2 linked regions of the Canis lupus familiaris genome follow. The protein of the gene in region 1 interacts with the protein of each later gene in a biochemical or structural test. Links are inferred from orthologs where the notes say so. Each region holds a gene or a part of one and is shown on either strand. Other genes may lie near its edges. The genes, in order: FGFR4 and FGF19.

The links.
Region 2: the proteins of FGFR4 (region 1) and FGF19 form a complex in vitro, tested with the Homo sapiens proteins (2 studies listed by BioGRID and IntAct). The link is inferred for Canis lupus familiaris from reciprocal best matches to the Homo sapiens genes FGFR4 and FGF19.

What each region holds. Positions count from the first base shown.
Region 1 is NC_049225.1:37,138,144-37,142,710, reverse strand, and holds the start of FGFR4 (fibroblast growth factor receptor 4), read left to right. Parts: upstream 1-1,500; 5' UTR 1,501-1,684; intron 1,685-1,953; exon of another isoform or gene 1,954-2,084; intron 2,085-2,206; exon of another isoform or gene 2,207-2,339; intron 2,340-4,235; exon of another isoform or gene 4,236-4,239; 5' UTR 4,240-4,288; coding exon 4,289-4,379; intron 4,380-4,567. UniProt on the Homo sapiens protein: Tyrosine-protein kinase that acts as a cell-surface receptor for fibroblast growth factors and plays a role in the regulation of cell proliferation, differentiation and migration, and in regulation of lipid metabolism, bile acid biosynthesis, glucose uptake, vitamin D metabolism and phosphate homeostasis.
Region 2 is NC_049239.1:48,923,818-48,926,711, forward strand, and holds the end of FGF19 (fibroblast growth factor 19), read left to right. Parts: intron 1-774; coding exon 775-1,089; 3' UTR 1,090-2,229; downstream 2,230-2,894. UniProt on the Homo sapiens protein: Involved in the suppression of bile acid biosynthesis through down-regulation of CYP7A1 expression, following positive regulation of the JNK and ERK1/2 cascades. Stimulates glucose uptake in adipocytes. Activity requires the presence of KLB and FGFR4.

The sequences.
Region 1 (4,567 bases):
ACTTGTCTGGAGATGTGGACAGGGGCCAGGTCATGCCAAGAATCATTATGGGAAGCTAGTAGAAAGTTTTAAAGGAGTAGTAGATACATTCAGATTTGTATTTCCTTTTTTTCTTTTTTTAAGATTTTATTTTTGGGGGATCCCTGGGTGGCGCAGCGGTTTGCCACCTGCCTTTGGCCCAGGAGACCTGGGATCGAATCCCATATCAGGCTCCCGGTGCATGGAGTCTGCTTCTCCCTCTGTCTATGTCTCTGCCTCTCTCTCTCTCTGTGACTATCATAAATAAATAAAAATTTAACAACAAAAAAAAAAGATTTTATTTTTAAGGGGCGCCTGGGTGGCTCAGTTGGTTAAGTGTCTGACTTGGCTTAGGTCATGATCTCAGTGCCTGGGATCCATCCGAGTATTGCTCCCTGCTCAGTGAGAAGTCTACTTGTTCCTCTCCTTTTGCCCTTCCCCCCTCAAATAAATAAAATGTTTAAAATTTTTATTTTATATTTTTATTTTTATTTAATTTTATTTTATTTTATATTTTTTAAAGATTTTATTTATTTGAAACAGCACAGGGAGAAAGGTCAGAGGGAGAGGGAGAAACAGACTCCCCGCTAAGCAGGGAGCCCATCTTTGGGCTCTATCCCAGGACCTTCGGATCACACCTGAGCTGAAGGCAGACGCTTAACCAATTGAGCCACCCAGGCGCCCCAAAAGATTTTTTTAAGAGTTTATTTATTTGTTCATGAGAGACACAGAGAGAGGCAGAGCCAGGCAGAGGGAGAAGCAGGCTCCATGCAGGGAGCCCGATGTGGGACTCAATCCCGGGTCTCCAGGATCACGCCCTGGGCAGAACGCAGGCGCTAAACCGCTGAGCCACCCAGTGATTCCCCAAAAGATTTTATTTTTAAGTAATCTCTACACCCAACGTGGGGTTCAAACTCACAACCCCCGGATCAAAAGTCGCATGCCCTACTGACTGAGCCACTCCACTGACTGAACCAGCCAGCCAGGCGCCTCCAGATTTCAAATATCACTCTAAGTTTGTGCAGAGAATGGATGGGAGTGGGTGGGAGCAGACGGGGGTCTCCTAGCCACTGTTTGGTGATTGCACAGAAAACAAGAGTAGCCAGGTTGGGCCAGAGTCTGTAGGGGCTAGCGGGTCAGGACTGCTGGGTGTTACCCTCTAAAAGGGGTGAAGAGCAGAGGTTGGCGCAAAGAACCAGAACCTGGAAGCCTGGTCTAGGTGTGGCAAAGGAGGCGGAGTCTGATGGGGTGTGTAGCAGGCTGAGGTAGGACCCCGGGATCACGCTGGCCCAGTTGGCCATTAGGCTTTGTTGGGTTTGGGGACTGGTCTCCAGGGGGCCGGACGCCGCGTCCCCGTCGTCTCGATAGAGCGGGTCCGGAGGGGCCGGAGATGGGCGGGCGCCGGGTGGTCCTCCCCCAGCCGCGGTCGGGATGGAGCTGGTCCAGGAGGGGCGGGGCCCGGGGTGGGCGGGGCCTGGGCCTCCCGCGGCCACGCCGCTGTCGCGGGTGCATTCCTGACTCTGGCCCCGGGCGGAGGAGCGCCCCGGCTGAGTCTGCGGTCCCCGCTGGGCGCGGGTGTCGCGACTAGCCGGAGCCGGGAGCGGGGCCGAGGAGGGCCCAGGTGAGCTGGGACCCTGTGTCTGGAGCGGGACCACGGAGGCTCGAGGTGAGCGGGACCCCTTGCGGGCTCGGGCTGCGCTCCCCGCCGCCAGAGGGCGAGCGGCAGCGGGGCTCGCGGAGCTGCCCCCTCCTGGCACTGGGGACCTGGGCGTCCTCTAGGAAGGGGGGTGGAGGAGAGGGTAAATCAGTAACCCGCAGCGCACACAGGGCCTTTTGTCCCGCTCCGTCCAAAGAGCACCCTGGCCGTGGAGCTGGTTACTCATTGCCCACCGGGGCGGGGGCGGGGGCGGGGCGGCTGTCCCTGCAGCTCCCCCTCCGGACCTGCCGACTCGCACCTCCCCCCAGGGTGGCCGGGTAAGGGTGGAGAAAGAAGAGCGCGCTGGTCCCTCGGCTGCCAGGCCGTCTGCGTTCCCCGAGTAGAGATGAGGAAGCTGAGGATCCGAGAGGTGCAGTCATTTGCCCAGGGCCCCCCTGCGCTCCTCCCTCCAGCCGGAGGAGAACCCAGGACTGTCTGATTGTGTGTAGATCCTTCAGCCCCTGAGTAAGGCGGTGGGTTGGTCTGTCAGAGGCCACGTGTGATCCGACTAAGGGTTACAAGGTCCGAGCAGCCTGGGTATAGGAATAAAATCCCCAGGTCTCCCTGACCCTCTCCCAGCTCGAGGTGTAGACCCAGAGGGCTGCTTCCCCTGCAGCAGAGCAAGGTGAGGTGATTCTATGGAGGAGGGCCATGGAAACTGGGGGTGGGTGCAGGAACAGTGGCATCTAAGTCAGGTGGAGAGGAGAAATGGGGACACAGAGGTGTGTCTGCGCAAGAGAGAAGACATGCCCAGTTTTGAAAGCCAATGGCTTCAGTGCTGAAGATGCTGAAGGAGCAGACTGTACAACCGAAGATACCCACAAGAGTAGGGAGGGAGGCCTAGAATGCTGGATGAACTATAGATTGGATCCTGCAGGACATGGGTAGCCATTAAGGGCTTAAAAGCTGGGGGATATGGGGTGGTGACATGGCAGATTCTTGTGATTTCTAAAGCCCTGCAAGAGAGCAGAGCCTGGAGTGCCAAGGGAGACATTTGCAAAGGCCCAAGCCAGAGATGACTATGGCCTGCCCTGGGTCCAAGCAAGGGAGGTGGGATGGACTGGAGAAGGATTGAGGAGGCAGATGGACTGGAAGTGGAGGGAAGGGGGAAGGGGGATGGGAAGAGATGATGCCCCAGCTGCAGGGGCAACCCAGGGAAGGAGCAGGGTTGTTTGGTTTTTTGTTAAGATTTATTTTATTCATGAAAGACACAGAGAGAGAGAGAGAGAGAGAGAGAGACATAGGCAGAGGGCGAAGCAGGATGCTTGCAGAGAGCCCGATGCAGGACTCGATCCCAGATCCCGGGATCAGACCCTGAGCTGAAGGCAGACGCTCAACCGCTAAGCCACCCAGCATCCCGGGAAGGAGCAGTTTGAAGGGGTAGATGACAGCTTTGGTCAGGACAGGTGAAGTGCTCCCTGCCTCAGAACCAGAGCTGGAAATGGGGCAGTGACTGAAGAGAAAGGGTGCAGTGGGCTTCCTGGGCAAGGTAGATTCAGAGACACCAGTGTCTCCTGACTGTTAATGAGTTCCAGGTAATAGCCAGTGGTCCCCTGGGACTACATTGGTCACCTCTTCCCCTGCCCCAGCTGAGACTGTTTTGAGTGTTCCTTCTGGGGGATGGGGAGACATCTTTGGTGTCAGAAGAATAGGGTGGGTGTGTGATACCTGACAAGAACTGCACCAGAATTGGAGGTAATTGGCCAAAGGTAGACCTGGGGTGACAGTCATGGAGAGGGAAGGGAAGAACGTTCCAACATTCTGTGTTCCCAGCCCCTACATATGGTCTCTTTTATCCTCAAAGCAGTCCTTTAAAGATAGCATCCAGAGAGGAACAGGAACTTGCAAGTTGGTAAGAGTCCGGATTTGAACTTGGCTTTGTCAGACATAGAGCCCAAGTCACCTCAAATGGAGTTGTGAGGACACAAAAAACAGATGCATTCCCAAGCGTGCAATTCTGGTTCAGAATGAGGAAGAACTTCTCTTGCCATGGAATGTGCTGCTTTGTTAGTAGTGAGTGCGCTGTCACTGAAGGTATTCAAAGCTGGTCAGGAAAATGTCAGCAATGCTATAAGAAGTGTGGGTCAGATCAGATAACATCCAGATGCTAAAGTTTGGCCTTGTATTATATTTCTTTTTTTCCTTTTTTGAGGGGTGGAGTTCTTCAGCAATAAATTCATTTATTCAGCAAAAAATAAATTACGTGTGCTGAGAGTGAGCAGAAGATATGTCTCCTTTTTCTGCTTTCCTCCAAGGAAAGAATCCCCAAACTGCCCTTTCTGTGAACCTGTGCCAGAGTCTCAGCAGGACTGGAGGAGAGCAGGAAGCCCAGCCCTGCCCCCTGAAGAAGCTTTGGGCTCTGGCCACAGCTTTTAGTCTCTGCCTTGCTGCTGCGTGATGGCGGGGAGGGCAAGGCTTGGACAAGTCCTGGCCACTTCCTGTCTCAGTTTCTTCATCCACAAAATAGGAGAATGGCAATGCGAAATGTGCAGATCTATCAGAAGTTCTCCCTCCCTTTCAGGAAGGCAGTTGGTGGTAAGCCCAGCCTGGGTCCTTGTGATCAGCAGGAAGGACATGTGGCTGCTGTTGGCCCTGTTGGGGGTCCTGGTGGAGGTGCCTGGGGCTCCAGCTTTGTCCCTTGAAGCCTCTGAGGAAATAGAACTAGGTATGGCCTTTAAGGTGGTAGAGGGTGGGCTCGGTGGGCACATGGAGGGAGCTACTAGCTGAGCAAAGCTGGAAAGGATCCTGGCCCAGTCCCTGAGGAGGTGACAGCAGGGCAGGGCCCAACCATTGAGACTCAGTGTCTGGCTCCCAGCAAGCGTCCACCTATCTCTATGTCCACAAGAGAGGAAT
Region 2 (2,894 bases), on another chromosome or scaffold:
TCAGTGGACCCCAGGGACATTTTCATGTCAATAGTTCTATGTTTGCTGTAAAGGGTGAGGGACAGAGGCACCCATGTTGCACCTCTGATTTGATGCATATTGCTCAGAACAAGGCTAAGTTTAAGAAGTGACATGATTTAGTGAGAGATATAAAAGATCCATGAAAAGTATATACAGATACTGAGTACACACATGAAATACGCACCTGAAGTATGTGTGTATATGAAGGCATATAAAACACCTATTAATATGTATAAATTTATACTTACAAAGTATATATAATGCGGTATGTAACTTTAATGTTATAATTTATTACATTTCTTTTTTTAAAAAAGATTTTATTTATTTATTCATGAGAGACAGAGAGAGAGAGAGAGAGAGAGAGACAGAGACACAGGCAGAGGGAGAAGAAGGCTCCATGCAGGGAGCCAGACATGGGACTCGATCCCTGGTCTTCAGGATCACACCTTGGGCTGCAGGCGGCGCTAAACCGCTGAGCCACCCCGGCTGCCCAATTTATTACATTTTTATATTAGCATATGCACAATGTGTTTATTAATATAATGTAATGCCTACTTTATAGAAGTACACATTTACATATATAAACACGTACGTTATGCTATGTATAACTACACACACAGATAAACACGGCTCATCATGTGGACCCAAGTGGCAACATGTAGCACAAATGCTCACCAGTGCCCGTTTTCTCTGCTGCTTCTGGAGCACCAGGGGGCTCCCACTGGTGCTCATGGTTGCCTGTTTTCTCCACAGCCTCAGTACTCCGCCGGAGACTGTACTTTCGAGGAGGAGATCCGTCCCGATGGCTACAATGTGTACTGGTCCAAGAAGCACCATCTCCCCATCTCTCTGAGTAGTGCCAAACAGAGGCAGCTCTACAAGGGCAGGGGCTTTTTGCCCCTGTCCCACTTCTTACCTATCTTGCCCGGGAGCCCAACAGAGCCCAGGGACCTGGAAGACCATGTGGAGTCTGACGGGTTTTCTGCATCCCTGGAAACAGACAGCATGGACCCTTTTGGGATCGCCACCAAAATTGGACTAGTGAAGAGTCCCAGTTTCCAAAAATAAGTGGGGCTGTGGCCTGACCTCCCACCCCTGCCCCCAGCCCTTAGAGGCCAGGACCCCAGACGTGTGGTGGGTTCTGGCTGTGCTTCTACAAATACGATCCTGGGCTCGTGTTCCAGTTAGCTTTAGGAAGAGACATCTAGAGCTTGTACATGTACAGAGTTTTCCATCGGCTATGCCAGTTCCTAGCAGATAGACTTGTATGATCATAAAATCATAAGCCCTCCACCCTGCACCTTTGCCATTGCTGGACAGTTTGCTGTGGTGCCCTGATTCTGCTTGAATACCTCCACTGGCCGGGAACTCACTACCTTTGGGAACGTTCTCTCCCATCATTTCTAGCAGGGGCAGCCAGGAAAAAAGCGGTCATTTTAAACTCACGTATAGGTGATCAGCTTTGTGAAAACTTACCAGGACAGAACTGACCGGGCATGGGCATACCTCACCAGGCTTCAGGAACTGGGAGAACCCAGAGCCCGGGAAAACTTTTAAGAACTCCCCACTACGGCTGGTTCTGGGATAGATCACCTTCATCGGACTACTTGGCAGTCTGCCTGCCCCCCCCACCTTGACCACCAGTGCCCTGCACATAGCCAACATTTGCTAAGGCTCAGGCTGATTCCCCTAAATGAATGGGCACCTACTGAGAGGGACAGGACACGAGGACAGCCCCAGCAGCCCTTGCCATCACAATGCAGGTTTCCACAGGATCCCATCTCTGGACGTGTGGGTTTCACATGATTGCCCCTCAGGACAGAACCTTCCTGGTCTCGGCGACGCTGCGGCTCTGGCGTGTTCCCTCCTTTCTTAAGCACCAAGGATTCCAAGAAGAGTGGAGCAGATGTGGCTTCTGGGGCTCCTTCCCCTTTCCTAGCCCTTCGCTGGGCACCACGTCTTCCTATGCAGCAGAACTTGGCAGCCTCCCACCTTGGGTAGACCTGCACATCTCGTTCAAAAGCCAGGAAAGTTTGGATTCGCAAGCCCGGAATCTTGCCAGTAACTTGCGGAAGCAGCGGGGAGAGAGCCCCTTCCCCCAGCACTTAGTTCAACAACGTGGTATTTATGAGTAATTTATTTTGTTTGATATGTACATCTCTCTATTTTCTTACTTTATTTATACTCCTAAGTTGTATTTATGATGTACGTGAGTTTTTTGTTTTCTACATTAAAGCACAATTTGTACCAAAAGTTGCATTTCATTATCCAATTGGATGCCCTCGAGGGAGAGCGGGAAGGGGAGGGAAGGGAAACAGACCTTGGCGCTGAGCTCAGAGGAGAGGCTTTGGGTGTTTGCTGCATTTAAAACTACACTTTCTGCCAAAGCTCACAGTCATTGCAACCACCCTCTAAGCTGAGGCTCTGGTGGGTCGAATAGTAGATTCGGTTTACCCAGTGGTGGAAGCTGCGTGGACCTGGGTGCAGGCTTCCTTCTACTACCTCTGCTAGGACTCTGCATGGTTACCTCAGCCACAGCATAGGGGTGTGTCAGGTGTAGGAACCAAACCCCAGCTAGTAGTGTCACCCTCTGCATGTTGACACTTGGGGCCACGTAGCTCTTTGCTGGGGTCAGGTGTTCCTGAGTGAGCTAGGATGATCAACAGTGACCCTGGCCTCTCCATCCACTAGATGCCAGTAGCATCCCCTCATTATGACAACCACAAATTGCGGAAGAAGTTGCTGCATGTCTTTAGGCAAAATTCCCCAACTGGCTGTTCATTCTAGAGAAAATCATGGGCTTTTCTGAGCCTTGATTTCCTCATCTGTAATATGGGATGAGGATGGAGAGAGCAGTAATGACGGGAGCAGCC